Anolis sagrei: one gene and its partner. Each later gene encodes a partner of the first gene's protein in a complex. Links are inferred from orthologs where the notes say so. Each region holds a gene or a part of one and is shown on either strand. Other genes may lie near its edges. The genes, in order: BDP1 and BRF2.

Region 1 (16,114 bases):
AAGCAACTTCGTGCATGAAACAGGCTGTTATAGATTACTAAATGGGGCAACATACAGGGAACATACTATCCCCTGTTATGTCAGCTCCACTGGCTGCCGGTCCATCTTCAAGCCCAGTTCAAAGTGCTGGTTTTGACCTATAAAGCTCTATACTGTTCTGGCCCAACTTACTTGTCTGAATGCATCCATCCCTATGTCCCACCTCGTAATCTAAGATCATCCAGGCCCTGCTATCGCTCCCGTCAATATCACAAATGCGTCTGGCGGGGACGAGAGACAGGGCCTTCTCGGCTGTGGCCCCCCGCCTATGGAACACACTCCCAAATGAAATAAGATCAGCTTCTTCCCTCCTGGCTTTTAGGAAGAAATTAAAATTGTGCTTTTGGGACCAGGCTTTTGGTCAGCAGAAGTAAGTAGCACTTTAGATGGACATTGGCTGGAATGGCGACACAGCTAATGAGACTATTTTTACTGTTTTAATTTTTGCTTATGTACTGATTTAATTATGACTTATGTTCAATTGCGATTGTATTATGATGATTGTCATGTATCGGCATTGTATCGGTGAATATTGTAAGCTGTCCTGAGTCCCCCCTCGGGGATTGAGAAGAGACGGGGTAGAAATACTGGAAATAATAATAGGGCATCAACACCATATAACTAATGAAGTTTGGCACCGCTTTGACTGGAATTAACAAAATCAATTCAGGAAGCCTTTTAAAGAATGATGTTTTAAAAAGCAAGTGACGTGTGCTTTATGGATTTTAAATAGATTTTTAAAGCCTTTTAAACCGGCAAAGACAATCCCAGTGGTGATTGGTACACTGGGTGCAGTGTCTAAAGACCTTGGCCTGCACTTAAACACAATCAGCGCTGACAAAATTACCAGCTGCCAGCCGTAGAAGGCCACCTTACTGGGATCTGTATGCATTATTCGCGGATACATCACACAGTCCTAGACACTTGGGATGTGTCGACGTGTGATCCAATTCGACAGCCAGCAGAGTGCCTGCTGTGGACTCATCTGGTGTTTCAAATAATAATAGGGAATCCACACTGTATAACTAATGATGTTTGGCACCACTTTGACTGAAATTAACAAAATCAATTCAGGAAGCCTTTTAAAGAATGATGTTTAAAAAATCAAGTGACGTGTGCTTTATGGATTTTAAATAGATTTTTAAAGCCTTTTAAACCAGTAAAGGTGGTCCAGTGGTGATTGGTACACTGGGTGCAATGCCTAAAGACCCTGGCCTGCACTTAAACACAATCAGCGCTGACAAAATTACCAGCTGCCAGCTGCAGAAGGCCACCTTACTGGGATCTGCACACATTATTCGCCGATACATCACACATTCCTAGACACCTGGGAAGTGTCCTACGTGGGATCCAATTCAACAGCCAGCAGAGTGCCTGCTGTGGACTCATCTTGTGTTTCAAATAATAATAGTAGGGAATCCACACTGTATAACTAATGACGTTTGGCACCGCTTTGACTGAAATTAACAAAATCAATTCTGCAAGCCTTTATATTTTAAAAATCAAGTGAGGTGGTGTTTTATGTATTTTAAATAAGTAAGGTAAATAAATAAATAAATAAATAAAATAGATTTTTAAAGCCTTTAAACTATTGATTTTTAAGAGTCCTGGGTTTAATTCTATTTTAGTGTTTACAACAGGCCTGAAGGGGAAAAGGATGGGACCTGAGGCTGTTAGGAATGGGAGTTGAAGTCCAAAACACCTAGAGGGCCCAGTTTGCCCACATAAGCGGCTGAAGGGGAAAAGCAAGGGACTGAGACTGTTAGGAATGGTGGGAGTTGGAAGTCCAAAGCACCTGGAGGGCCCAGTTTGCCCAGGCCTGGTGCAGATACACCCACAGAAAGGGCTGCCATTGTATCCGCGGCCTCTCCCTCAAACTCCCACTTTCCGAGGCGAGAGTCCGGCCCAGCGGCGCCTCCCTCTGGCCAAGAGCCACCGCCAGGCACTAGGCCTCGACTACTACCACCACCATTGCTAAAGGAGGAGTCCAGAGCCGAAAGGATACTGACAAAACCCTCGCGAGCGCTGACGTAGCGGGAGAGGGAGAAAGAGGGGAAAGGCCTCTACTTACGGGCCATGGCAAAACAATAACCCCAGCGACGACAACCGTCACGCGAGAGCTCCGACTTCCCACTAACCGCTCCAACTGCCAGAATCTTCTGCGTGCCCCGCCCGCCGCGCGCCGCCTTTATATAAGGGTCCGCCTTTGTGACGTCACCCCGCACACGACGTCACTTTTTTTGCCCAGAGCCACGCTTTTCTTGACAGGCTGTATTTGGTCGGGGTTCTGTTCTGCGCGTGCGCACTTGCTCTGTTTTCCTTTCGCCCTTCCCTCCTCCCCTTTCAGCGTGTCTATATCTGACTGTCTATGTGGCAACACAGAGCAGAGGAAACAAAGCCTCTAGTCTACGCTGCAAAATTGATACATTTTGACAGCACTTTTTAACTGCCAAGGCATCTCAAGTGCTGGAGGGTCTTAAGCCTTCTCTGCCAAATAGTGTTGGTGGCTCAACAAACCCATGTTACAAATATCCAAGGAAGGGACCTGAGGCTGTTAGGAATTGTGGGAGTTGAAGTCCAAAGCACCTGGAGGGCCCAGTTTGCCCAGGCCTGGTGTAGATACACCCACAGAAAGGGCAGCCATTGTATCCGCGGCCTCTTCCTCAAACTCCCACTTTCCGAGGCATTAATTCTACAGTGTAGATAGGTTTTTTTTAATCGTGTCAGGAGCGACCTGAGAAACTGCAAGTCGCTTCTGGTGTAAGAGAATTGGCCGTCTGCAAGGACGTTGCCCAGGGGACGCCCAGATGATTTTGATGTTTTATCATCCTTGTGGGAGGCTTCTCTTATGTCCCCGCATAAGGAGCTGGAGCTAATAGAGGGAGCTCATCTGCCTCTCCCCGGATTCGAACCTGTGACCTGTCGGTCTTCAGTCCTGCTAGCACAGGGGTTTAACCCACTGCGCCACTGGGCGCTCTTAGTGTAGATAGGTAAAGGTAAAGGTTTTCCCCTGACATTAAGTCCAGCCGTGTCTGACTCTGGGGTGTGGTGCTCATCCTCATTTCTAAGCCGAAGAGCCGGCATTGTCCATAGACACCTCCAAAGTCATGTGGCCAGGATAACTGCATGGAGCGCCGTTACCTTCCCATCGCAGCGGTACCTATTGATCTACTCACATTTGCATGTTTTCGAACTGCTAGGTTGGCAGAAGCTGGGGCTAACAGTGGGAGCTCATGCCGCTCCCCGGATTCAAACCTGTCACCTTTCGGTCAACAAGTTCAGCAGCTCAGTGCTTTAATCCACTACACCACGGGGGCCCTCGGATTAAGCTCCTTATGGACTTTCCGCAAACATGGTGGAATTATTTCGGAAATCTTAGCATTTAAACAAACATGGTTCTTGCGATAAATAAATAAAGGCTTGGCCAAAAATAAACATGGAAAGCAAATATGTAATAGTCTGAGCCTTGAAAGCTTGAAAACGCATTATGCAGTTGAACTAAACAAATACGAAGGGCCTGCTGATAAGTCTTTGGCTTTGTGTTCTTTTTTTTTTATGGTAACGAATGTTACATCATATGAAAACCTTATGTGTCTAATATGTTGTTGTTGTTCATTTGTTCAGTTGCTTCCGATACTTCGTGATCTTATGGACCAGCAGACACCAGAACTCCTTGTCGGCCGTCACCACCCCCAGCTCCTTCAAGGTCAAGCCAGTCACTTCAAGGATCCCATCCATCCATCTTGCACTTGGTCAGCCCCTCTTCCTTTTTCCTTCCATTTTCTCCAGCATCATTGTCTTCTCTAAGCTTTTCTTTCTTCTCATGATGTGGCCAAAGTACTTCTTCTTGGCCTCTACTATCCTTCCCTCCAATGAGCAGTCGGGCTTTATTTCCTGAAGCATGGACTGGTTGGATCATCTCGCTGTCCAAGGCACTCTCAGGACTTTCCTCCAGCACCACAGTTTAAACGCATCTATCTTCCTTTGCTTAGCCTTCCCTATCGTCCAGCTCTCACATCCGTAGGTGACTATGGGGAATACCATTGCTTTAACTATGCGGATCTTCATTGCTAGTGTGATGTCTCTACTCTTCAATGTATCGTTGTGGGTGGGCACAACAGCTAAACGTCATGTCAAACTGTTCCACAATTTAGATGCAACCAAGTTGTACTTAACAAATAACATTCTTAATTCTTTCAGTTACATATATGTATTGAAGAAGTGCACCCTAAAATTATCCATGGGCTACCTCAAATCATACAAATTTATATCCAGGAGAGAATCTTCTATGAGGTGCCATCAACCCACATGCGGATGAAAGCTTGATGTACTTGGAGAAAACTGCCAGATGTGTCAAGCCAACAACAGCAATTAAGTAGGAAAAAATAATAAGGAACCAGTGTAATCTGTGAGCTACTCCGAACGAATCCAGCCTTAAAGCCAAGCAGGGATTATCTAGGAACTAGAAGCAACCTCATTTTATTCCATCCAAAGCTTTATTTACATGTAGGGTGAGGGTTGACCATTCATTTGTTAATGGAAAAGTTAATTCAGTAGTACAAACACTAACGTTTTAATTGTTTTCATTTGGTAAATTATTGTTACCTAATTTGTCAGTTAAAGAATTAATGTTGGGCCTTGTCCAATTTACAGAGAAGGCCTGGAGGCTGTCATTTGGGGATTGCATTCATTCTAGTTCCTTATGATGCTTCTTCAAAGACCTTTTTTGTCTTTTTAAAGTTGTCTTTAACTCTGGAAATTTTCCCCACGTGGACTACAAGGACCGTAACAGTATTATTGTCTGGGAATGGTGGGAATTTAGGGCCCCAACCTGAATGTGGGAGTTGAAGTCCAAAACACCTGGAGGGCCAAAGTTTGCCCATGCCTGGTGTATAGTTACATAATGCATTCAAGTTGTCCAAAGCCATGGGATCTCATTTTACAACCTCTTTAATTCCAATTATCACTTAATGACACTTCTTTTTTGCTTTTTACTCTCATTAAGTGAACACCTCATTTCTTAATGTGACTTGTTTGTCAGAGGTTAATACAGTGTGATTTATTTCAGTTACAGGGCATCGATTCACTGTATGTACAGCAAAAAGCGTATAGCTACAAAATTGTCTAGTGAATCAACATTGGAGATTTTTGTAGATGACTTTTCAGAAAGTCATATTCAGAAATTGTCTCTGAAAATATTTCCCAGCACAGATGAATAATTTTTCACTACCATTGTCCCAGTCAAGATGTGTGGGCTGAGAAGGTCAGTGGAAGAATGCAGGCTTTGCATATAGGAGCCAAGAATCCCAGCGGTAATCTGTCGCATTTGTAGTTTTAATGATCAGATGTCTAACAAGTCCTCTCTTCTTTGCAACCATTTTGTACAATTTTAATTGTATAATTAAATTGGCTAGGTGAAAAAGGAGGAAGATGGATGAGTGAGTAGGTAAGAAGAATAGGAATGTAGGAGGAGGGAGAAACTAAGGGTGCATCTACACTGTAGAATTAATGGTTTGACACGACTTTAACTGCAGTAGCTCAGTGTTACAGTAGCTCAGTGTTGGCATAAAAGGCTAAAGACCTTGTTTAACTATAACTTATTCGAAGTTATAGTTTAACAAGGTCTTTAGCCTTTTATGCCAAAGACCGCTGGTGCTTCACCAAACTACAACTCCCACAAGACGATAGCATCAAACTGGGCAGTTAAAGTGGTGTCAAACTGCATTAATTCAATGCAAAGTATGAATCTCTTATTATTTTTAACCTAATGCAGGTATTATTTCACTAGGCTGGCATGCATAGTAGTTTTACACATATATTAAAAGATTTGCTTCTGAATAGGGTTATAATTTAGGGGGGCACATAACTTACTTTGGGAGTGTATATCCTCAGTTCTTCATTCATTGTTATCTAACCTGGTATTACTGCTTTGGATTGGGATATATATATATGCGCCCTGCATATACAGAAAGGTTTGATTTGCATGATAGAAAATGTTATCTTTGGATGTAAGGTGTATCATTTGGGAACACATGGCTCACAGTTTGTTTGGGGATAATAAGCCTAGTTCCTTATTTGTGATTGCCAAATCAGACCAACACACATTAATGCCCATTTTCAGAGAAGAATATATTGAGCACAAACAATTGTTTTCCCCTTCAAACTGTATCCTCTCTCCCTGAATCAAGGCAACATATAATATGGGGTTGCTGAAAGCATAATTTGTGGTGTGGGGGTTCATCTTATGTCCTAACGGTTGAATGACTGAGCTGTGTTTCAATTTTTTTCACAAATAAGAAACTAGGAGTAAGCCACAAATTCTAGCTTTGTACAATACACAAAGGTGAGTGTGGAACTGTCAATAGGGAGTTCTAAGGAAAATTAAATGAAGACATGTAACTGAGAGGGAGAATATTCAGAGCTCAGAAAATTTCAGTTGCTTGGTACTATAACTCCCAGAGTCCTCCACCAGCACAGATAGGTACAAGACATGTGTATGGATGAATTCTGGAGGTTGGAGTTTAATAAGTACACTGGTTATGCTATTCTGGGAGCTGCTTGATAAGATAAGCATCCTACCACCAGATAAACCAGTTAAACATGTAATGTTATATCTGTCACAATATTACAACAGCAATCATGTTTTGGTGACTGATAATAGGGCTCATTATTTAGGATAGGAAGGGGTTAATAATTTTAGATATTGTTATTATGCAACCTTTTTGCAAAAGTCACCAAGGTGGAATACATCCTTTGAAAAACAATTAAAAATATTAAGATGTAACTACTAAAACTTAAAATAAAAACATTTTTTAAAGTCACAATTCTAATTTCAAAGGCAACACATTCCACAATTCCTATTGAAACAAGGCAGAGGAGAAACATTCAAATCAATGCTGGAGAGGATATCAAGTATTAGGCTCATACATCCATATGTGGTGGACATGTCAATTTATACAAAAAATTGGAAAATAGACCTCTACCTCTGAGGATGCTTGCCATAGATGCAGGCGAAACGTCAGGAGAAATGCCTCTAGAACATGGCTCTATAGCCCGAAAAAACCCACAAGAACCTAATTGGAAAATAGTATTTAAGGAAATAAGAATAATAATAAAAATAGAGAAAAGGGTACACCAGAAATAGCATTATTATCATTGTATGATATTATATTCTTACAAGAAATGAAGGAATTAATTTCCAACCTATTCATGGTAGCGAGACTAATGATTACAACAAAATAGAAAGATAAAAATGAAATTCAATTGGAATAATGTTTGGAACATAGCAATTAACAACAGACTGACTTATGACATTAAAGTTAAAAAGGGAATGTGGAAACAAACAAGACTTTTGGAATATCTGGGAGAAGTTTATAGAATTTGTATTTATAGAAGGACAAGGAGACAAACCTGCAACAGAAACAATGAAATTCCGGAGATAAAAAATAAGATAAATTTGTCCTGGTGAAGGTGGCACAAAGAAAAGGGAAAGGAATGGGGGGCAGGGGAGCTAAACATATTCAAGTTATTAGGAAAATTGTATTAGATTTTTAAGTGCAGTATACTTTAGATGGGGAAAGTTTTAAACTAAATTAGGTGCATTTTACTATTATATCTATCATTATTTTATGCTATTATATATAATGATTGTATCTTTGTTGACTTTACTTGTTGACCTTATTAATACATTAAGAAAACTCTGTACTACGATGTACAGGGTTAGTCAAAATGCATAGGCCAATAAGCCATTCAATTGAATGGCTTATTGGCCTATGCATTTTGACTAACCCTGTACTTTCTCAATGCAGATACTGTAATAATAATAATAATAATAACAATAATAATAACAATAATAACAATAACTTTACTTGTAACTTGCCCTATCTCCCTCAGGGGACTAAGGGAGGTTTCCAGCAAAGGTGGCAAACATTCAATGCCAAAAAACAAAGAGCAAATCAGATCAAAAACAATAAATAAAAAGAATATTAACATAAATTTATAATATCCCCTAAAATAACCAAATTAAAAACTAAAATATACATAATGTGACACTTCACACACACTTGATAAAATCTGATGATTAAAAGGCATTAAGAATATAGGGTAATTTACAGCGACCAACAGGGATGAGGTAGATTTCTGATATTTTAAATATATTTCCCTTGCATATGTTTTTTTGTTGGTTACTATATTTGAAATGTTGTTTTCTTGAATAATAATAATAATAATAATAATAATAATGTATTGTTGAAGGCTTTCATAGCCAGAATCACTGGGTTGTTTTAAGTTTTTTGGGCTGTATGGACGTGTTCCAGAAGCATTATCTCCTGACCTTTCACCTGCATCTATAGTAGGTCACCTCACAACTTCCGAGGATGCCTGCCATAGATGCAGGCAAAACGTCAGGAGAGAATGCTTATGAAACATGGTCACACAGCCCAAAAAACTTACAAAAACAACAGAAACAGAAACAAACAAGCCATTCTAAATCCATTATCCCAATGGCTGCATCTACACTGCAGAATGAATGCAGTTTGATACTACTTTAACTAGCAAGGCTATGGAATGCTAGAGCAAATGCTATGGAATTCTGAGAGGTGTAGATGGGTGAGGCAACAACTTTATGTGGCAGAGAAAACTGAAGACTAAGGGACTTTCTACACAACCATATAACCCAGAATATAAAATCCCATATTTTCTGCTTTGAATTAGAATATATGGCTGTGTGGACTCAGATAACCCAGGACCCTTCTACACAGCTATATCATAGAATCACAGAGTTGGAAGAGCCCTCATGGGCCACCCAGTCCAACCCCCTGCCAAGAAGCAGGAAAATTGCATTCAAAACACCCCTGACAGATGGCCATCCAGCCTCTGTTTAAAAACTTCCAAAGAAGGAGCCTCCACCACACTCAGAGAGTTCCATTGCTGAACGGCTCTCACAGTGAGGAAGTTTTTCCTAATGTTCAGATGGAATCTCCTTTCTTGTAGCCATTGTTCTGCATCCTAGTCTCCAGGGCAGCAGAAAACAAGCTTGCTCCCTCCTCCCTATGACTTCCTCTCACACATTTATACACGGCTATCATGTCTCCTCTCAGCCTTCTCTTCTTCAGGCTAAACATGCCCAGCTCTTTAAGCCACTCCTCATAGGGCTTGTTCTCCAGACCCTTGATCATTTTAGTCAGCCTCCTCTGGACACATTCCAGCTTATCAATATCTCTCTTCAATTGTGGTGCCCAGAATTGGACACAATATTCCAGGAGTGGTCTAACCAAGGCAGAATAGAGGGGTAGCATGACTTCCCTGGATCAGAACAGAACATCCCACAATATCTGCCTTGAAATGGAATATATGGCGGTGTGGACTCAGATAGCCCAGTTCAAAGCTGATATTGTGGGATGTTCTGTCTTGATATTCTGGTTCATATGGCTGTGTGGAAGGGCCCTGGGTTATCTGAGGTCGCACGGCCATATATTCCAGTTCAAAGCAGAAAATATGGGATTTTATTCAGCTGTGTGCAAGGGGCACTAAACTACAGCTCCCAGGATTTCCCTTGAAGCCCAAAACACCTGGAGGGCCGAAGTTTGCCCCTGCCTGGAAGAGCACCAGGCACTCCCTGCATTCCAAGGGGCTCTCCTGGAGAGGGAGGGCTATTCTGTCGCAGGCTGATGACGCAGGCGGTGCGACATTCCGGGCTGGCAGCTGACAGGCCTCCTTCCCTCAGCCCTCCGAGGCCCCGGCAGGCAAGCAGGAAGGCAGGAAGGGCTCGGGCCGGGGACATGAGGCGGAGGCCTCGCCGGCCGGAGGAGAAAGGCGACGGCGGGCTTTAGCCAGAGGCCTCAGTGAGGAGCCATGTTCCGCCGGGCCCGCTTCAGCGTGAAGCCCAACGTCAGGCCTAGCACCGCGGCGACAGGGAGAGGCGGCAGGGGCCCAGTTCCTGCCCTAACTGTGGGCCCCGAGCCAGGCGGGGAACAGGGCCCCACAGCCGCCGCAGGAGACACTTCCGGAGGCGCCCAGCAGGGAGGGAACAAAGGTGGAAGCAGGCAAGTGGAGATGACCACCGCAAATATTGCCTTTGGATCAGGATTGGGCAAACTTGGGCCCTCCAGGTGTTTTGGACTCCAACTCCCACAATTCCTAACAGCCTCAGGCCCTTTCCTTTCCCCCCTCAGCCGCTTAAGGGGGGAAAGGAAGGGGCCTGAGGCTGTTAGGAATTGTGGGAGTTGGAGTCCAAAACACCTGGAGGGCCCAAGTTTGCCCATGCCTGCCTTATAGGCAGGAAATAAGTACAGAGCCAGTAGGCAATTACTTTGAGAGCACTTTGAGGGTTAGTTTAGCACAGTTTTAGAGTATGTTTTCTGGTAATAATACAATAATATAATAATAATACCTTCTTTGTATTCCACCCTATCACCCCGAAGGGACTCAGGGCGTATTCCAGCATAGACAAACACAAAGGCAAACACTCAATGCCTAGGAGCCCCCAATGGCGCAGTGGGTTAAACCCAGGACTGCTGACTGACAGGTCAGTGGTTTGAATCCAGTGGGAGTGGGTTGAGCTCCGTCTGTCATCTCCAGCTCCGCATGCAGGGGCATGAGAGAAGCCTCCCACAGGGCTGGTAAAAAACACCAAACATCCAGGCATCCCCTGGGCAACATCCTTGTAGACGGCCAATTCTCTCACACCAGAAGCGAATGTCAGTTTCTCAAGTCGTGCCTGACACACACACACAAATGCCTAGAAACAACGAAACACATATAAAGGTAAAGGCTTTCCCTTCCAGCTCTGAGGAGTGGTGCTCATCTTGGGCTCTGTGTGGTGGTTCTAATCTCCATTTCTAAGCCGAAGAGTCGGCGTTGTCCGTAGACACTTAGGTCATTCGGCTGGCGTGACTGCCTGGAGTGCCATTACTCCCCCCCCCCCCCCCCCCGAGGCGGTACCTATTGATCTACTCATATTTGTATTTTTTCAAACTGCTAGGTTGGCAGAAGTTGGGGCTAACAGCAGGAGCTCACTCCGTCCCGTAGATTCGAACCACCAACCTTCCGGTCGGCAAGTTTAGTAGCTCAGCACTTTAACCTGTTGTGCCACCATGGCCCTACTCTTCCACTCCTCCACATATCACAGGGTAATTTCCAAAAGGAAAAGGCATTAAAAATGGTAAATCAGCAACAGCAGTTTAGCAGATCAGAAGCTTCTTGTGCAGAGCAGTAGAGTGAATGAGCTTCAGCAATACAGGAACATGGTCAAGCTTTAAAAGTTACAAAATACTTTATTGAAGTAACAACATTTCTCTATAGGAAAGTTAAGAGCCCAGCTGTCAAACTCTGTGGATACATCTTGTCTCTCTCCATGCTCACAGGAAAAGAACAAAAACGGGAGGACTCGGGGACTTGCCATGTGCTTGATACTTTGAATAAAAAGAGACGTCCATGAGAAGCATCAGCTTAACACAGGCACAGACAAACTTGGGCCCTCCAGATGTTTTGGACTTCAACTCCCACAATTGAGAATTGAAATCCAAAACACCTGGAGGGCCCAAGTTTTCCCGGGTCTGGTGTAGATGCACCCTCAGCCTTCTTCCCACAGAATCATTAGGGAGACATCCGGCAGGGATGTCATAAGTGTGGTAGCATCAATAGTAGATAAGTTTTGCCTTTGGGTGTAACTACCCTTTGTCTCATCTTATTCTACCATATTGTAGAAAGAATGCATCTTGACACCATGTTTGCTACCATGGCTCCATGCCATGGAATCTTGGGAGGTGTAGTTTTTCAAGGTCTTTAGCCTTCCTTGCCAAAGAGTAGAGGTGCCTCACCAAATGACAACTCCCACAATTACATAGCTGATCCATTCACTGGTCCATTTCAGTTAAAGTGTCAAACTGCATTGTTTCTATAGTGTCGATACACCCATAGACACACCCAGCAGGGCAGTCATAAGGGTGGTTCAGCTATATAGGTAAGTTTCACCTTTGAACAAAGCTACTCTTTTGCACTTCTATTTCGTCTTCCCGCAAAGCCATTGATGATTTTAAGTTTAGTTCTTTCAGAAAAATCCCAGAGCACAAAAGTTTGGGATTTATATTTGAACTTGTGGGAATGATTCATACCTGCATCCCCTGTAGTGGGAGCCCTGCATGTGTGAAAGAAGCATTGAGAGTGGGAGTTCCTTATTCCCTGGAAGGGAATGGTTTGTGTATCTAGTTAGTAGTGATGTATTTGTGTGTGAGTAGCAACTATATACCTTTTGCTGTTGTTTTTTTTTTAACTTTCTGCAGTCCCCAATTTAACCAGCATGGCTTTGAACCATATTCATAGTTAAGGTTGAAGATCTAGTGATTCTGGTTGTTGATGATGGAGATGAAACAATTGACATTGTTATATTCAGCTTTAGTTGTGCTTTGAATATCTTGCTTTGTCCTGTATGTTTATGGAAATAGTGTGCTTCCTTTGGTTAGATGTGATGAGAAGGAGAAAGAATAAGAAAGAAAACACTGTTAGTGGGTCTCTTAGATCTGATGATGGTATGGGTATAATCCAGTTATACATCAGATTTTACCTATATAGCTGAACCACCCTTATGATTGCCCTGCTGGGTGTGTCTATGGGTGTATCGACACTATAGAAACAATGCAGTTTGACACTTTAATTGAAATGGATCAGTGAATGCTATGTAATTGTGGGAATTGCCATTTGGTGAGGCACCTCCACTCTTTGGCAGGGAAGGCTAAAGACCTTGTAAAACTACACCTCCCAAGATTCCATGGCATGGAGCCATGCTAGCGAAAGTGGTGTCAAGATGCATTCATTCTACAACATAGTAGAATAAGATGAGACAAAAGGCAAAACTTACCTACTATTGATGCCACCACAGTTATACAAAAACCTTGAATGCTAGATTATATCTCATAGAAATAGAGGGTTGGAAGGTATGCCAGGGATCACCTAGTCCAAAACCTCCAGGTGCAGAAAGTCATAATAAAATATTGCTGAGAGGTGTCTGTCTAATCTCTGTTAAAACAAAACCTATAATGAAGGACAGTTGAGCAACTGCTGACATAGTCTTCAGCCAGCTATTGGATGATTGTAACCATCAGGAGAGTCCTCTTAATGCTTAGCTGGTCTCCCTTCTTATACTGTCGTTTCAGCTTATTCATTTGGGTCATGTTCTCCTATGCAGCAAAAAAGACGTTTGTTGCTTCTTTCATGTGACAGCCTTTCATGTATTTGAAGATAACTATCATGATGCCTTGGTTATTGTGTCCTAGTTGTACATAGTGTTAAAAGTACACACGTCATAAACGTGTGCTGTGCTGTTTAGTTGTATGAATATATTGCAAGCATTTGACCATAAACTGCGTACAAAGGTACGTCTGCTAACTGAAATAATTTAGCATGCTTTGTAGTGTTGACACATGCAGTAGGGTCACATTTTGCCAAGATCTGGATTATTAGATTTCCATTTTCAGATTGCAGTTTTTTCAGCCACTGAAAGTGCATACACACTGAATCGCCTTGTCCGCAATATTATATTGTTGCTGTTAATTGCTATCAAGCTAATTTCAACTAATTACATCCTTATTAATGAGAAATATCTAGATCATCCTATCTCAGATAGCCCTGCTCTGCTCTTACAGATTTAGATCTGTGGGTGCCATGATTGGGTAAATCCATCTGTAATGTGGTCTTCTCCCTTTCCTTCTAATGTTATCATTATAATATGGTTTCAAGGCATTTCAGATTAATGGTGTTCCTAAATTGACCCTATCATGGACTTTTTCTAGATGAGATTCGTTCAGAGATGTTTTTCCTTCAACTGAGAGAAGGTGACTTGGCCTAGGTCATCACTGGGTTTTCATGGCTGAACAAGGATTTAAACCCCGGTCTCTAATATTTTAGCCTGACACAAACCACTATACCACACTGACTCGCTTTCTACCTTACCAATCATGATTGTCTTTTCTAGTCAGTCATATATTCTCATGATATTTTCAGTGTATAACAGTCATCTTGACTTCTGGGGAGTGTTGAGGCTTTATTTGCTCTAGGACTAATTTATTCGTCTTTTTGGTAGTCCATGGTACCGTATCTTTTTTAGCATTTTTAGTATTTTTAGCAATCCACAGTATCCATGGAACTCTTCTCCAGAATCACATTTCAAATGAGTTGATTTTCTTCCTATCAGCTTTCTTCACTTTCCAGTTTCTACAACCATACATATAAATTGGAACTCTGATGGTGTGGACAACCCTAACTTTAATAATATATCTTGACAATTCGGGATCTTGTCTGATTTGTTTGTAGCTTCCCTTGTTGTCTTCTGCTTTTTCCATCTCATACATAGTTGATGTAATAATTCCAGATAAGTATAGTCAGTGAAAAAGTTATTAATTATTCAGTTCCTTTACTGAAGTCACCAGTTTGATTTGTTTTTTCTGTTGCATCACCACATCATAGTAACGTAGTTTTTTTCCTGCCTGCTAATCATTTCATAGAAGATCTAAATACGAATTTAGTGAATATGCTGGTATTTATTATGTTTTGTTCCCAAGGGTATTGTAGCAGTATATTCAATATAGTCAATAACTAATTGGTAGATTGTTAACAGTGAACTGTATGGACGTAAGCATCTGAAACGGATATTGTCCTATATTCAGTCAAATGGAAAATGTTAGTTTATTTGTTGGATAAATTGTTATGTTTTTTTTAAAAGGCAGATCTAATATTGCATGATTCAGTTCATAAGTTCATTCATTTCTTTTTAAAACAGCTATACAATTTTCTTAAAAATACTCATAACAGATGTCATTCTTTTTGAATTTTGCAGAGATGAAAAAACCAATCAAGATGGAGATTGTAGTAAACGTGCAGAGGCCCTTCTCCAGAGAAGAAAACGATTTTCAACTGTGCCCAATCTTGCTAAACCAAGAGTTACATCCACATCTACTCAAGGTTCTGTCAATCTGGCATCAAAACATTCTACAAAACAATTACCTCATTCTTCTACTCTTGGTAGCTCTGTGCTTCATAAGGAGACTTCTGAAAGGGTTAATGTGGAAATTTCACCAAAGTCTCCAACTTTGCCTGAAAAGAAAACACCTGTTCCTCAAGTACCACAGTTCTCTCCTTTAAAAAAATCTTCCAGTAAAGAACCAAATACTTGTCCATCTGTCCAAAGAAGTGATGAAGCACTTCAGAAGAGTGCACTCTCGCCTCTCAAGGAGAGACCCACACAGGAAAAATTAATTCAAGATGAAACTGTCCATTCAAAATCTGGTCCAGAAAAAGATAAAAATAGGTGTTCAGAACGTGAGAAAATAATAAAAAGTCAGACGCTGCGAAAGATGCTCAAGGAAGAGTTGAAGAAAGAAAAGGTATATAATATTTTTGTGACAGTGCTATAAGGACAATGTGGGAGGGAACAGAAAGAGCTTATGGCCAGACTTAAGTTAGATCCTTGGCCCATTTAGGTCATATTGTCTTTAAAAAGTTCATTAGGATTTCGGACAGGAGATTTTCCACATCTTACCTGGAAATGGCAGGGATTGTATCTTTTTTATTGTAATGAGGTATGGTGGATCTGTAAGAGGGTATAGCTTCTTTTTATGGTAATATAATGGTGCATTACAGAATCTACTTTGCTGAAGGCTTTTAGTTTATAAAGGTAAAAATTTGGCAGCATCAAATGCTGTGTCAGTCTACAGCTTTAACGTTTTTACATCAAATATCCACCAGTATGTATATCTGAATCTAAAAGTGACCACAGATAAATGTTTCAGTTATCTGTAGTGGATTGGCAAATATTTTGTATTCCTAATTTAACAACAGGAGAGACAAAATATGCTATTCCCTCAACTTATTGCTGAAGTGAAGCTAACTTCGGATAATCAAGGTTTGATTTATATGTGGAAGTACTTCAGACTCTGCTCATTTATGGTACTGATTTTTAAATGTATCTATGATTGTTTGATTTATTTTTTTAAATAATTTTTTATTGTTTTATCACATTTATTACATACTATTACATTTTGTACATCAACCTCTTTAACATGTTATTTTGTTGTTTTGCTCT
Region 2 (15,878 bases), on another chromosome or scaffold:
AAAAGGGGGAAAAGGAAAAAAAGGGGAGAAAGGGGAAGAATAGGAGAGAAGGAAGGAAGGAGAGTAGGAAAGAAAAAGGGAAGGAAAGGGAGAGGGAAGGAAAGAAGGAAGGAGAGAGAGAAAAAGAGAGAGAGAGAGAGAGAGAGAGAGAGAGAGAGAGGAAGGTTGGCCACAGCAACGCATGGCAGGCACAGCTAGTACAATAATATCTCAGTTAATGTAGTAAAGTGTTCCTGGGCATCACAGAGAATGCAGAATGCAATGTGGAAAGAATAGGAACATCATATATATGCTGCAACAGTTAGTCCAAAATCTTAAAAATATACAAAATACTTATCTCAGCATTTTGAATAAGGTATATTCAACCTGAATCTATAATATATTACAATGTATTAATATAATATAATGTATATACATGTAATATTTATAATATTATAATGTAAGGCAATATACTACTACTAATATATTATAATTATATATTTATATTACATGTAATATTATTAATAATATTACAATATAATGGTATAGTAGTTGAAGTACTTTGGCCACATCATGAGGAGAGAGCAAAGCCTAGAGAAGACAATTATGCTGGGAAGTAAAAGGAAGAGGGGCTGACCAAGGGCAAGATGGATGGATGGCATCCTTGAAATGACTGGACTGACCTTGAAGGAGCTGGGGGTGGTGACGGCCGACAGGGAGCTCTGGCGTGGGCTGGTCCATGAGGTCACGAAGAGTCGGAGACGACTGAATGAATGAACAACAAAATAATGGTATAGTACAATATAGTAATATTTAATACTTATATTGCACTATGCTAATAATATAATATATTGTATGTATATATAAGGAGTCCCCAGTGGCGCAGTGGGTTAAAGCACTGAGCTGCTGAGCTTGTTGATCGATAGGTCGCAGGTTCGATTCCGGGGAGCGGCGTGAGCTTCCGCTGTCAGCCCTAGCTTCTGCCAACCTAGCAGTTCGAAAACATGCAAATGTGAGTAGATCAATAGGTACCACTCCGGTGGGAAGGTAACGGCGCTCCATGCAGTCATGCTGGCCACATGACCTTGGAGGTGTCTACGGACAACGCTGGCTCTTCGACTTAGAAATGGAGATGAGCACCATACCCCAGAGTCAGACATGACTGGACTTAGTGTCAGGGGACTACCTTTACCTATGTATCTATACCTTGTAAGCTGCTCTGAATCCCCTTCGGGGTGAGAAGGGCAAAATATAAATGTCGTAAATAAATAATAAACATCACAAAAAAGAAGAACAATTCTCCGAGTTTCAACTAATTTCATTCAGAACCAATAATATCTACATGTGAAATGTAACGAACAAGTCAGGAAGACTTGTGTTTATCTCCAGCCTTTCTTCACAATTATATTATAGAGGACGAAGAAGAAAAGCTGGGGGCCAAAAGAAAGGCTTTATTAACTGGGATATGAAGTTCTTTTGTTTCATACATACCCTTTTTGATGTGGGTGCAAGAGCCCCTAAAATAAAAGGAAATAGCTCTAGGATGAACCAACGCCGACTGCTGGTTGTACATTCCCAGAATCATTTGTGTCTATTTAAGGATCCCTGAGCCTCCCTAAATGCCTCCTTTTCTTCTGACGTTCGGATGTATTGTTCTATCTCGCTATCCGAAATGGCCTCATCCCCGGTGATAGCATAGTCTTCAGGGCGCAGATCGGGAGTCCTCAACTTCTTCTTGGGATTCAGCATGCAAGGTGGGAGCAAAGGTGCCCGCTTATTGCCCCCTTTCTGCCCCTCTCCTGGAAGGGAAATCTCTTCTGTCATTACAGAACTTTCTTTTATAAGCTGCTGTGGTGTCCCTGGTTCTGAGCCCTCTATATTACAGCCATCAGTGCTATCCATTCTGGAAAAGGCAGACTGCAAAAGCACACGGCGATGCTGCAGCAGGTCACCAACATACTTTGCCACAGTCCTCTGATCCACCTTGAGCACTCGCAGCCAGGCCAAATGAGAAGCCATCTGGAGAAGGATGTTATGCAGCTCCTTCAGCCTCTGGTGAGCTGGCCGGGGCGCATCTGTGCCTGCAAGTTTGCAGAACTTAGAAAGAGTGCAACTGAGGCGATCAACGGGTCGCAGAGACTGCCATGCCAGGAAGGCTGCTGCCATCACAATGGGGATGGGATGCCGGCCAGTCACCAGCCATGTTTCACTGGCAAGCTCCACCATCTGAATAGTCCTCTCCACCAGCTGCTCTTTGTCTTCAACAAATTTGGGTGGGATGCCTGATGACTGCTGAAAAAGCTTGAAACTGGAAAGGAAGGAAAGCAAGCATGCTATTTACAAGGATTACTCTGTCTAGACATATGATGGGAGGTGCTGAGAGCAAAAGTGATTGAGCAAATATGGCCATGTTTGTAGTATGCAAAGGCAAGCTGGTACATGGGTAGCAGAGGAAAGCACTTGACATAACGATGTTGTGTGCCTTCATTCCTGACTTTCAGCAGTCACATAATGGGCATTTCATGGCCAGATTTGTTCAGAGGGGATTGCCATTCTCTGAGAACAGCCGAGTATAACTGGCTACGGCCACCCTATCAGTTACTATGGTCAATCAGCAGTCTAGGCTGATCTGGTCAGGGTGGTCCATGCCTTAGTCACCTCTAGGTTGGATTACTGTAATGTGCTCTACGTGGGGCTGCCCTTGAAAACGGCTCGGAAATTCCAACTGGTTCAACGGGCGGTGGCCAGGATGTTAACTGGCGCCCCTTACAGAGAGAGGTCAACCCTCCTGTTTAAGGAGCTCCATTGGCTGCCGTTTACCCACCGAGCCCAATTCAAGGTGCAGGTGCTTACCTACAAAGCCCTAAACGGTTTGGGACCTGCCTGCCTGCGTGACCACATCTCCGTATACAAAGCCACGCGCTCCCTCCGTTCATCCGGAGAGGCCCTGCTCACGATTCCACCTGCGTCACAGGCACGTTTGGTGGGGACGAGGGACAGGGCCTTCTCTGTGGTTGCCCCCGACTTTGGAACACCCTCCCCAAAGACATTAGACTAGCACCTATGTTGCAGTCTTTAGGAAGAACTTGAAGACCTGGCTATTCCGATGTGCCTTTCCTGAATAGTATAACCTCCAGCACTACGTCCCAGAAGCACTTTATTAGAGCTTAAGACTCTCTGCACATTGCACTTGCCCAGAATCCTAACATAATAAATAAAATGCCATACACAACTCCTCTCCACTTGATCTCAATAAGTACCTGGTGTGGAAGGATAGCCTGAAAAAGTGATGGGCCCAAGCTCAACCATTGTGTCCAACCTTCAAACTTCTAGATCACAATGTCGGATTTTCCAAGAGCTTTTTGTATTTGAAGCAGCTAACATCTCTATTGTTTTAAAGCAGATGAAATATCTATCCAAGAGTTTCCCACATAATTTAGAATTCAAACTGTACCTTCTCTACCATGTTAGAAGGCCCAATGCCCCTGTCAAATGCAATCAAACAGATAGCCACCAGTCTTTACAAAAAAGTATATATGTATATACAATGGGCAGCAGGCAGGTTATTAACTGGAATGACTTACAGGGAGCGGTCAACCCCCCTGTTTAAGGAGCTCCATTGGCTGCTGTTCATTTTCCGGTCCCAATTCAAGGTGCAGGTTCTTACCTACAAAGCCCTGAATGGTTTGGGACCCACCTACTGCGTGACCGCATTTCTGTGTACGAACCTATGCGATCTCTTGGGTGGAGAGGCCCTGCTCTCACTCCCTTCGCAGGTGCGATTGGTGGGGACGAGAGAGAGGGCCTTCTCTGTGGTGGCCCCCCGACTCTGGATCTCACTCCCCAAGGATATCAGACAAGCCCCCACATTGGCAGTCTTTAGGAGGAGCCTGAAAACGTGGCTGTTCCAGTGTGCCTTCCCTGAATAAGGAAACAATGCCCTGCTCTGATTAATTCTCTGCACTTTACTACCCATTGGGTTGCTCTCCCTACATTATCTTTTAAAACTCTCCTGCTCAGATACATCCTACCTCTGTTCACACCCAGTGTTTATTTAAAAAAAATTAATTTAACACATCTGGCCTGGCCATAAGGTTTTAAATTCTCTGTGTTATTTTTTATATGTAAGTTATATTAATTGTACTGTTTTATTTGCTTGCTGCTTTGTTGTTTATTGATGTGTTGGTGGGCTTGGCCTCATGTAAGCCACCCTGAGTCCTCTTGGGGAGATGGTGGTGGGGTATAAATAAAGTTTTATTATTATTATATTATTACACACACAGAGAGAGTCTTTCTTCCATGATGGAAGCAATGCACACTACGTGTTCATTTCAAAAAAACATTCCCAACTTTGAGACATATATCAGGAAAAGGGAAGAGGGATAATAACGTACCTGTTGAGGTGTGTCTTCACTAAATCTATCAAGCTCAGAGAAGGAACATCCAATGACATTTCCTTCAAAAACTGCAAGTATACCCCAGCAAACAATTCTTTATCAGCATAGAGTAGCAAGCAGACTGTGCCCATAGTCAGGGGCCAGTTGTGTTGCCGGCAGGTGACAAAGACACAGCAGCCCACAATCATCTCCTTCTTCTCCAAGCTGACCAATCTGAAGCAGGGACGCTTGATGGCCTGTTGGTAATAACTCACTGCTGTTTCTTCAAACAGAGAAGGAAGATGGAGAACTTTGCAGAGATCCCGGACACGTTTGATTCCTGTAAGGGAGACACCGTATAATACACATTTGCATTTATTTTTCACATGCTGCTCAGAGTTTTCCAAGGATATAATAATAATAATAATAACAACAACAATAATAATACACAACATTATTTCTATGCCATCCTATCTCCCTGAGGGGACTCAGGGTGGATTAAAATTGGCAAATATTCAATGCCGGCATAACATAAAAAACAAATTAAATCATATAATATAAAATAAACAACATCAAGTGTACTTATAGAACAACTCAAAAATAACAAACTTAGAAAATTAAATATATAAATCAAACATTTAGAACATGTTTACTACTAGATCTAATAATAGAAACCAATCAAAACATTAAAAGTAAAAAGGCATTTACATGTCAACAGGGCTGAGGTGGTGTCCATGTCAGAGTGTTTAAGGTGCTGGCTGAATAAAATTATTATATTGCACAATTCCACAAGTTAAAAAGGACCTACTACTTACTATGTACCTTCAAATCAACTCACTTATGATAACATCAAATACAGGATGTTCTTATCAGAAGAGATTTGTCAGTGTCTTCTTCTGAGACTGAAACAGTATGACTTGTCCATGGCTGAGCAGAGAGTTGAAACCTAATCTGGAGTTTTGGTTCAACATTCAAATTACTGTATTGTGCTACTCTGACACCACAATGGCTCTCTTGCTAATGCATTAAGGTAATCTAATAAGGTTTTTCTTCCGTTGCCCCCCCCCCTTTCTCCAAATGTGGGTCTCCCTGGCTGAGTAGGGATTTGAACCCTGGTTTCCAAGAGTCCAAGTTTAAAACTCCTGCCACTACACCATACTGGCGCTGACATTCATTTTTGGAATACACCAAAAGGTACTGATGGAAGATGCAAAATACTTGCCTCTCTGCAGACAATGGCCCAACTGCTCGCTCTCACCAGTACTGCGTGAGTATGTCACTTCTGAAAAGAAAGAAAAATTACCACATCAGATACACAGATATAGTGTAGATATACTTATTCAGAGCAAATTGGAACCATGGTATCAACCTAACCATCCATAGTTTGGATATCCCCCAAATGTCAGATGCAGAGACTCAATGGTGTGAAATTCATTTCTCAAACTACTATTTTGTTTTTCTTTCTTCTTCCTTTCAAAAACTGAGTATTGAAATCACCCAGATGGCCACCTGTTGGGGGTGCTTTGAATGTGATTTTCCTGCTTCTTGGCAGAATGGGGTTGGACTGGGATGGTCCATGGAGTCTTCCAACTATAATTCTATGATATGTGGAGTTTTCTCCTTTCCCTCGTATTCTGGGCACAAAAAGGCTTCAGTATAAACCTCAGCTCATGCTGCCACAGCTGCTGTTCAGTTCAATTCTGATCACACAACTTTCTGCCACTCTGGGTCAGAGTGAAGAGAGACCAACAGAAAATACTGGAAGGGTTTGGTGGGCAGTGCCCTTTGGTTTTGGAGTTGTAGTTCGCCTACATCTAGAGATCACTGTGGACTCAAACAATGATGGATCTGGGCCAAACTCTACACGAATCCTCCATATGCCCAAATGTGAACACTGGTGGAGTTTGGGGAAAATAGAATCTTGACATTTGGAAGTTGTAGTTGCTGGGATTTATAGTTCACCTACAATCACAGAGCATTCTGAACCACACCAATGATAGAATTCTGAACCACACCAATGATAGAATTGGGCTAAACCTCCCACACAGAACCCCCATGTGGGCCACAGCAACGCGTGGCAGGGGACGGCTAGCATCTATATAAATGAAAAAAGGGGTGTTTGTTTGTGGGACTAACATAACTCGAAAACCACTGAACGAATTGACACCAAATTTGGATACAAGATCAGGCCAATGAGTGACCATCATTCATACAAACACTGAAAAACACCGCAGAAGCGATTTAAAAATCCAAAATACATTACAATGCATGTGCAAAACTATATATATATATATATATATATATATATATATGCAAACACACACATATACACACACACAAAACACATATACATAGATTGGGCCAGAGCAACGCGTGGCAGGGGAAACCACAACGTTGTGGCCACTCTCGGCCTGCCTCACCTTGGAGGTGCTGCTCCTCGGCGAAGGTGGTGGTGAGGAGCCCTTCGGTGAGAACGAAGCCACAGTCTGCGCACACCAGCTGGTTCTGGGCGTAGTGGGAGTCCTCCACGATGTCCAGGGAGCCGCAGTCTGGGCACTTTTTGGGGCCCGCCATCTTTGCAGCCTGGAAAAGGAGGCAGGGAACAGCCAGGAAACAGCACAAGCCTTTCCCAACCTGCCCCAGAGCAGGGCCGCGGACGGACTTTCCCTGCCAGCCTCAAAGAATCACCTTCCAACGTCTCCTACGCAGCCCCGTTGTTTTCCTTCTGAGACCGGAAGTCGTCGCGCGGGGGAACTGTTTCCACGTCGGACCCACTTTTTAAAAGCAAGCGCCATGACAACCGGGCACTCACTAAGCTGAGGAGCGAACGACTAGAAAATGCTTCCGGTAGGGAAACAAAGAGCGGACAAAGGTTCCGGATTGGACCTGTTTACTTTTAGCAATGTTTCTCAACCTGGGGGTCGAGACCCCTGGAGGGGTCACGAGGGGGTATCAGAGGGGTCGCCAAAGACCACGAGAAAACACAGTATTTTCTGTTGGTCATGGAGGTTCTGTGTGGGAAGTTTGGCCCAATTCAATCCTTGGTAGGGTTCGAATGCTCTTTGATTGTAGGTGAACTATAAATCCCAGCACCTACAACTCCCAAATGTCAAGGTCTATTTCCCCCAAACTTCACTGGTGTTTACATTTGGATATACTGAGAATTCGTGCCAAGTTTGGTCCAGATCCATCATTGTTTGAGTCTACAGTTCTCTCTGGATGTAGGTAAACTACAACTCCCAAAACTCAAGGTCAGTGCCCACCAAACCTTCCAGTATTTTCTGTTGGTCATGGGAATTCTGTGTGCCAAGTTTGATTCAGTTCCATTGTTGGTGGAGTTCAGAATGCTCTTTGATTGTAGGTGAACTATAAATCCCAGCAATTATAACTCTCCCAGGACAAAATCAATATCCTTCCCCAATATGTTACCATTCATAACAGCAGCAAAATGAGTTATGAAGTAGCAACGAAACTAATTTTATGGTTGGGGGTCACCATAACATGAGGAAGCGTATTAAGGGGGTCATGGCATTAGGAAGGTTGAGAAACACTGACTTATAGAATCATAGAATCCTCGAGTTGGAAGAGACCTCATGGGCCATCCAGTCCAACCCCCTGCCAAGAAGCAGGAATATTGCATTCAAATCACCCCTGACAGATGGCCATCCAGCCTCTGTTTAAAAGCCTCCAAAGAAGGAGCCTCCACCGCACTCCGGGGCAGAGAGTTCCACTGCTGAACAGGTCTCACAGTCAGGAAGTTTTCCTCATGTTATTTGTTTGTTTGTTGGTTTGTGAAATTTATATGCCACCCTTCTCACCCCGAAGGGAACTTAGAGCGACTTACAAAATATACATACATGCAATATATTATATTATTAGCATACTTACTTAGGCGATTCCTCGTAGTATGAGAATGATGGTCCTCCAAGTGTAGTGTACTGGCGGTGGGTACGTAGGTGACTATGGCACCCTATTCTTGACCTGCATCTTCTCCTGCACTGAGGACATCGGTTTCCAGGTGCAAGGCGGTCCCGGTTGGGGTTGGCTTGATGACCTCTTTCCACCTGGAAAGCAGTGCCCTCGCTATGGGAGAACATGCAGGTCAGGAATAGGGCTCCAGAGTCGCTTACGTATCCACCGCCAAGACACATCACTTGGAGGACCATCATCCTCGGACTATGAGGATCACCTAAGTAAGTTAGAATAATAGAAGCAGCCAGGCTTTGAAGCTGCAAGGCCATTCATTGCTAATCAAGGTAGCTGATTGCAACATTCACACTTGCCTCCAACGGATAAGAGTTCTTTCTCCCACCCTGGACCTTCCACAGCCAGTCTTTGAAGCTGCAAGGCCATTCAATACTAATCAGGGGGCCAGTTGCAACATTCACACTTGCCTCCAACTGAGAAGAGTTTTTTCTCCCACCCTGAACAATCCACAGATATATAAACCTCACTTGCTTAGCTTCCAACAGACTTCTCCATCTCTGAGGCTGCCTGCCATAGATGCAGGTGAAATGTCAGGAAAGCATGCTTCTGGGACACAGCCATACAGCCTGGAAAACTCACAGCAGCCCACACAGAATAACAGAGTTGGAAGAGACCAAATGGGCCATTTAGTCCAACCCCCTGCTATTCAGGAAAAACACAATCAAAGCAACCTGACAGATTACCATCCAGCTTCTGTTTGAAAGCTTCCAAGGAAGGAGCTTCCAGACTCCAAGGCAGAGAGTTCCACTGTTGAACATCTCTTCTTAAAGTCAGGAAGTTCTTCCTAATGTTCAGGCGGAATCTCCTTCCCTGTCATTTGAACCCATGGTTCATAGTTTCCAGGGTAGCAGAAAACAAGCCTGCTCCCTCTTCCTTGTGACATCATTTCATATATTATGCATGGTTATCATGTCTCTTTATATATAAATGTGCCGTTGCCCCTGGGGGCTATAGCTCTTAGTGGAAGAGGCATGGACGTGACATCTTTCCCCAGGGGATTGCTTCTTGCCCTCCTTTAGGAAACTGGAACTCCCAAAGACCAAAACACAACAGATAACTCAAAATGGTATTTATTGTTCACAGTGAGTTATCTTTCTCAGGCATAAGCTTGATGTTTCAACAGGGATAAAGGAAATATACTTTACAATCTATAAAGTCCAAGGAGTTTGCAGCTGAGAAGCTTTTCCTGTTTCCTCTTTTCTCAATGGCTGTGAATATCGGAATAAACACAACCCCAGTCCAATGGCCTAAGTTGAAGGGACAAGACCTTCCTCTGGTGCCAAAAGAACCGGTTTGAAGGCGCTTTGGTCTCCTCAATGTTGTCCAGGACGATCTGGACATAAAGCATGAGTCCCAAGGGTAAAAAACCTTAGAATTGGTGCTGAAAGGTAATTTAAGCAGAGGCTTTTAGAACCAAGTCTCTTACTCACGTCCATCTGATAGAAATTCTGATGGCAGAATGAAAAAAGGGAAGCACTCCCCTCCTCCAGGAAGAAGTGGAGCCAAACAATTGAGCTTGAGAAAGCAATTCAACTGGTGCAAACAACATTGATTGACAGCTATAAATAACCAATCAATTCAAGCAGGGTAAAAGGCAGGATTAAGCATGATACAACAGTTTAAATCTTGCAACTAGCAGTTCTACACATAGGTGGCGTCACAATAAAAGTGAAGAATTTCGTAGTCTAGTATGAAGTACAGTCAAGTACTATAAACTATATGGCTTTAGCGGCTGAGGAGGAAAAGGAAGGGGCCTGGGGATGTTAGGAATTGTGGGAGTTGAAGTGCAAAACACCTGGAGAGCTGAACTTTCCCCATGCCTGATTTATATAAACCTGTACACTGGACAAATGTATTAATTGGCTTAAACCTGATTTATGTTGCAGTGCATTGGGAGATCCTTGGAGTCAGCATCATTACAGTGTCCCAAAATGATACGTGTCTCAAAAAGTGTCACCAACTTGAAATGTCTGGAAAGCTCTTTGCTCAGCATTAGGCAAGTTACTCTCACAGTCTCTCAAAATAAGAGTGAAGCTTGTTTTCTGCTTCCTTGGAGACTAGGACGCGGAACAATGGCTTCAAACTACAAGAGAGGAGATTCCATCTGAACATGAGGAAGAACTTCCTGACTGTGAGAGCCGTTCAGCAGTGGAACTCTCTGCCCCGGAGTGTGGTGGAGGCTCCTTCTTTGGAAGCTTTTAAGCAGAGGCTGGATGGCCATTTGTCAGGGGTGATTTGAATGCAATATTCCTGCTTCTTGGCAGGGGGTTGGACTGGATGGCCCATGAGGTCTCTTCCAACTCTTTGATTCTATGATTCTATGATCATGATGTTGACTGTGGGCAAGTAAGGAAGCTTGCTTTTTATGTGCTGACTGCATATATTCTACTCAATATAACCAATGAGGACAAGGGTAAGGATAAATATTTCCAAGCCCTTTGGGGCGGCACAATGGGTTAAATCCTTGTGCTGCTGAACTGAAGGTCAGCAGTTCGAATCCGTAAGATGGGGTGAGTTCCCATCTGTCAGCTCCAGCTCCAGCCAACCTAGCAGTACAAAAACATGTAAATGTGAGTAGATAAATAGGTACTGCTTCGGCGGAAAAAGGCAAAGAGACTCTCCAAGCAATCTTGCTGGCCACACAACCAGGAGGTGACAATTGGCTTGAAAATGGAGAAAGCACCTCCACAGAGCCAGAGATGACCACCGTCTCCAGAAGCCGGAAATGAAAGGAGAAGCCTTTACCTTTCTTTATGTGTCTCACTGTATATGATTGTAAAGGCATTGAATGTATGTAAATGCTGTAATCCGCTCTGAGTCCTCTCGGGGAGGAGGACGGAATAGAAATAAAGTTTATTATTATTATTATTATCATTATCATCATCAACAACAACTATTTCATATCCTCATAATGCTGAAAATGTATATACCATAATAGTAATACAATGGATCTTGATAAGTCTGAATTTGGGAGCTGAATAGAGAATAGGACATCAAGAATAGGTGTGTTTTTCTTTCCCGTTTCAAAATAAGCTCCTATTCCTTATGACTTTGAAAATGAAGAAAAATTGCCAGTAACAACGATGGTATATTCACAGAAAGATCAAAGGACAGGCGCTGGAGATGGGAGTCTAAGGGTACGCTATGTTCCTCCAGCTTTGCTAATATGTTTACAATGTTTTCCTATTTTCTTTCTGTTTTACAAGAGTGTTCCAAGCAGCGATAGAGAAAGATGCAAGCAACATCTGGCTTTTATGTTTTTGGAAAGGAAAACAGCTATTGCTTCTTTGTCCCTTTGTTGCCATAGGAGATGTATTTATTTTGCACCATGCCGGATGACTCTAATTAAGCTTGCAGGACACTTTCTTGATTCCAGGTACAATTTGGATGAGGGGATGTTACTATATATTTTTTTCACACATATGTGAGAGGAAGCCACAGGGAGGGGGGGGGGGCAAGCTTGTTTACTGCTGTCCTGGAGACTAGGACGCAGAACAATGGCTTCAAACTACAAGAAAGGAGATTCCATCTGAACATTAGGAAGAACTTCCTGACTGAGAGCCGTTCAGCAGTGGAACTCTCTGCTCCTTCTTTGGAAGCTTTTAAACAGAGGCTGGATGGCTATCTGTCAGGGGTGATTTGAATGCAATATCCCTGCTTCTTGGCAGGGGGTTGGACTGGATGGCCCACGAGGTCTCCTCCAACTCTTTGATTCTATGATGATGATGATGATGATGATTATTATTATTATTATTATGTGTCAATCAAGTTTATTTCAGTGAGGATTTGGACCTCTTACCTTTACTAATGTTCAGATTCCATCTGAACATTAGGAAGAACTTCCTGACTGTGAGAGCTGTTCAGCAGTGGAACTCTCTGCCCCGGAGTGTGGTGGAGGCTCCTTCTTTGGAAGCTTTTAAACAGAGGCTGGATGGCTATCTGTCAGGGGTGATTTGAATGCAATATCCCTGCTTCTTGGCAGGGGGTTGGACTGGATGGCCCATGAGGTCTCTTCCAACTCTTTGATTCTATTATTCTTCCCTCCACCAACTTGCTGTTAATTTTGCTTGTTGTGTTTATTCTAGACCAAGCCTTTAGGAAGCTTCTGGTCCAATTCTTTCAGCTGTGGCTTTTATCCTACAATTCACCGGATTCATTCCACTGGGGGTGGGACGGTGTTAGTGAATGGCTCTCATCTCCTAGCGTTTATCATTACACTATTTTTGCCTTCTGATGGAAATGGAGCATGATATCATTACAATGCCTGCATGTGTCAGCCAAGCTTTGGTATTTGCAGAGCTATAAATACCATAATCTTGATGGGGAAAAAAGGGGTGGGGTAAAGAGGGTGCAGCATACACAGCAGGCTTATAATGCAGGTTGACATTTTTAACAATGCAAACAAACAGACAAAACACAGAATTTGCAAGCTTGGTAGTTGATTAAATGTCCTTTGACCAGTATCTGGCCACTTGGAGTGCCTCTGGTGTTGCCGCAAGAAGGTCCTCCCTTGTGCATGTGGCAGGGCTCAGGTTGCATTGCAGCAGGTGGTCTGTAGTTTGCTCTTCTCCACACTCGCATGTCGTGGATTCCACTTTGTGGCCCCATTTCTTAAGGTTGGCTCTGCATCTCGTGGTGCCAGAGTGCAGTCTGTTCAGCGCCTTCCAAGTTGTCCAGTTTTCTCTGTGCCCAGGGGGGAGTCTCTCATTTGGTATCAGGTTCTGGGTTTGAGCCTGCCACTTTTGGACTCTCGCTTGCTGGGGTGTTCCAGTGAGTGTCTCTGTAGATCTTAGAAAACTATTTCTTGATTTAAGTCGTGCTGGCTGATACCCAAACAAGGGATGGGTTGGAGATGTCACTGCCTTGGTCCTTTCACGATTGGCTGCTACTTCCCGGCGGATGTTAGGTGGTGTGATACCGGCTATACAGTGTAATTTCTCCAGTGGTGTTGGGCACAGACACCCCGTGATAATGCAGCATGTCTCATAAAGAGCAACATCCACTGTTTTAGCGTGGTGAGATGTGTTCCACACTAGGCATGCATACTCAGCAGCAGAGTAGCATAGCGCAAGGGCAGATGTCTTCACTGTGTCTGGTTGTGATCCCCAGGTTGTGCTAGTCAGCTTTCGTATGATATTATTTCTAGTGCCCACTTTTTGCTTGATATTCAGGCAGTGCTTCTTGTAGGTCGGGACATTACTTGTGGTAAGTAATTTTATATCTGTGTAAGTAATTTCATTCACTGTGTCTGGTTGTGATCCCCAGGTTGTGCATGAGGGATTAATAACAATAAGAGGATAATGGGATGGTGAATGGAAGAGTAAACACGGACAATTCCCACTACATTTCCCTGCAGCTCCCCTTTATATCTACTTAGTGAAGACACTTTGAATGCTGTAGATGTACCTAGAACAGTGGTTCTCAACCTTCCTAATGCCACGGCCCTTTAATATAGTTCCTCATGTTGTGGCGACCCCCCAACCATAAAATTATTTTCATTGCTACTTCATAACCCTTAATTTTGCAACTGTTAAGAACTGTAACGTAAATATCTGATATGCAAGGTGTATTTTCATTCACTGGTCCAAATTTGGCACAAATATCCCATATGCCTAAATTTAAAAATTGGTGGGGTTGGGGGGATTGATTTTGTCATTTGGGAGTTGTAGTTGCTGGGATTTATAATTCACCTACAATCAAAGAGCATTCTGAGCTGGAATTGAACACAGAACGCCCATGACCAACAGAAGTACTGGAAGGGTTTGGTGGGCATTGACCTTGAGTTTGGGAGTTGTAGTTCACCTACATCCAGAGAGCACTGTGGACTCAAACAATGATGGATCTGGACCAAACTTGGCACGGATACTCAATATGCTCAAATGTGAACACTGGTGGAGTTTGGGGGAAATAGACCTTGACATTTGAGAGTTATTATTGCAGGGATTTATAGTTCACCTACAATCAAAGAGGGGTTCCGAATCTCACCAAGGATAGAATTGACCCCCCTCGCGACACCCCCCCCTCCCGGGGTCCCGACCCCTAGGTTGAGGAACACTGGTTTAGATGGACATTTTTTTCTGACTTAATGGGGCTCTTCACATTTCACCCATTCTTTTTGACAGGAACATGTCAGGGAATATTTTCTCCAGCCTCCAATACGGAGTCTTTGATGAGCTAATATCTTTGAAAGTACTGTGAGTCATGACTCTATGGCAGTGTTTCTCAACCTTCCTAATGCCGCGACCCCTTATTCCAGTTCCTCATGTTGTGGTGACCCTCAGCCATAAAATTATCTTTGTTGCTATTTTACAACTGTAATTTTGCTACTGTTGTGAATTGTAATTGGAAGATTTTGGTGGGCATTGACCTTGTGTTTTGGAATTGTAGTTCACCTACATCCAGAGAGCACTGTGGTCTCAAACAATGATGGATCTGGACTAAATTTGGCACAAATACCCAATATACCCAAAGGTGAACACTGGTGGAGTTTGGGGGAAATAGACCTTGACATTTGGGAGTTGTAGTTGCCGGGATTTATAGTTCACCAGCAATCAAAGAAAATTCTGAACCCCACCAATGATAGAATTGGACCAAACTTCACACACAGCACCTACATGACCAACAGAAAATGCTGTGTCTTCTGGTGGTCTTTGGTGACCCCTCTGACACCCCCTCACAACTCCCAGGTTGAGAAACACTGGCCTAGAAACTCTTGATGTAACATAGAATTCACACAGCATTTGCTTAAAACTTTTAAAAGGGAACAGCTCTCTGATTTGCTATAAAAGGCTACTCATGTGCTTTAAGGGAGGGTTCGGCATTGGGCATGTCAACAGCTATTACATCAACCACATCATGAGCATCACACACTTAATTTCTAAGTCACTGTGGAGAGCAATCACAGCACATATGATGGATAACTAACTGGACAAATTCTGCACTGAAACATATTTTGTTTTAATTTTATTTAGTACTAGCCACCCCCTGCCACATGTTGCTGTGGCCCACATGGGGATTCTGTATGGGAGGTTTGGCCCAATTCCATCGTTGGTGGGGTTCAGAATGCTGTGATTGTAGGTGAACTATAAATCCCAGCAACTACGACTCCCAAATGTCAAGATTCTATTTCCCCCAAATTCCACCAGTGTTCACATTTGGGCATATTGAGTATTCTTGTAGCGTTTGGTCCAGATCCATCACTGTTTGAGTCCACAATGATGTTTGGATGTAGGTGAACTACAACTCCAAAACCAAAGGACACTGCCCACCAAACCCTTCCAGTATTTTCTGTTGGTCATGGGAGAACTGTGTGCAAAGTTTGGTTCAATTCCATCGTTGATGGGGTTCAGAATGTTCTTTGATTGTAGGTGAACTTTAAATTCCAGCAACTACAACTCCCAAATGACAAAATCATTTTTTTTAGTAAAGGACATACATTGGGTTGTTAGGTGTCTTGTGTCCAAATTTGGTGTCAATTCGTCCAGTGGTTTTTGAGTTCTGTTAATCCCACAAACTAACATTACATTTTTATTTATA

What was found.
Region 2: BDP1 (region 1) and BRF2 share a complex: the UniProt entries of both Homo sapiens proteins name them as parts of the TFIIIB complex. The link is inferred for Anolis sagrei from reciprocal best matches to the Homo sapiens genes BDP1 and BRF2.

Annotation. Positions count from the first base shown.
Region 1 is NC_090022.1:261,795,409-261,811,522, forward strand, and holds the start of BDP1 (transcription factor TFIIIB component B'' homolog), read left to right. Parts: upstream 1-9,714; 5' UTR 9,715-9,891; coding exon 9,892-10,082; intron 10,083-14,869; coding exon 14,870-15,416; intron 15,417-16,114. Other genes in the region: SERF1B (small EDRK-rich factor 1), read right to left, coding at 2,111-2,117. UniProt on the Homo sapiens protein: General activator of RNA polymerase III transcription. Requires for transcription from all three types of polymerase III promoters. Requires for transcription of genes with internal promoter elements and with promoter elements upstream of the initiation site.
Region 2 is NC_090027.1:11,046,821-11,062,698, reverse strand, and holds BRF2 (transcription factor IIIB 50 kDa subunit), read right to left. Parts: upstream 7,142-15,878; 5' UTR 6,930-7,141; coding exon 6,776-6,929; intron 5,638-6,775; coding exon 5,578-5,637; intron 4,696-5,577; coding exon 4,374-4,695; intron 2,288-4,373; coding exon 1,561-2,287; 3' UTR 1,418-1,560; downstream 1-1,417. UniProt on the Homo sapiens protein: General activator of RNA polymerase III transcription. Factor exclusively required for RNA polymerase III transcription of genes with promoter elements upstream of the initiation sites.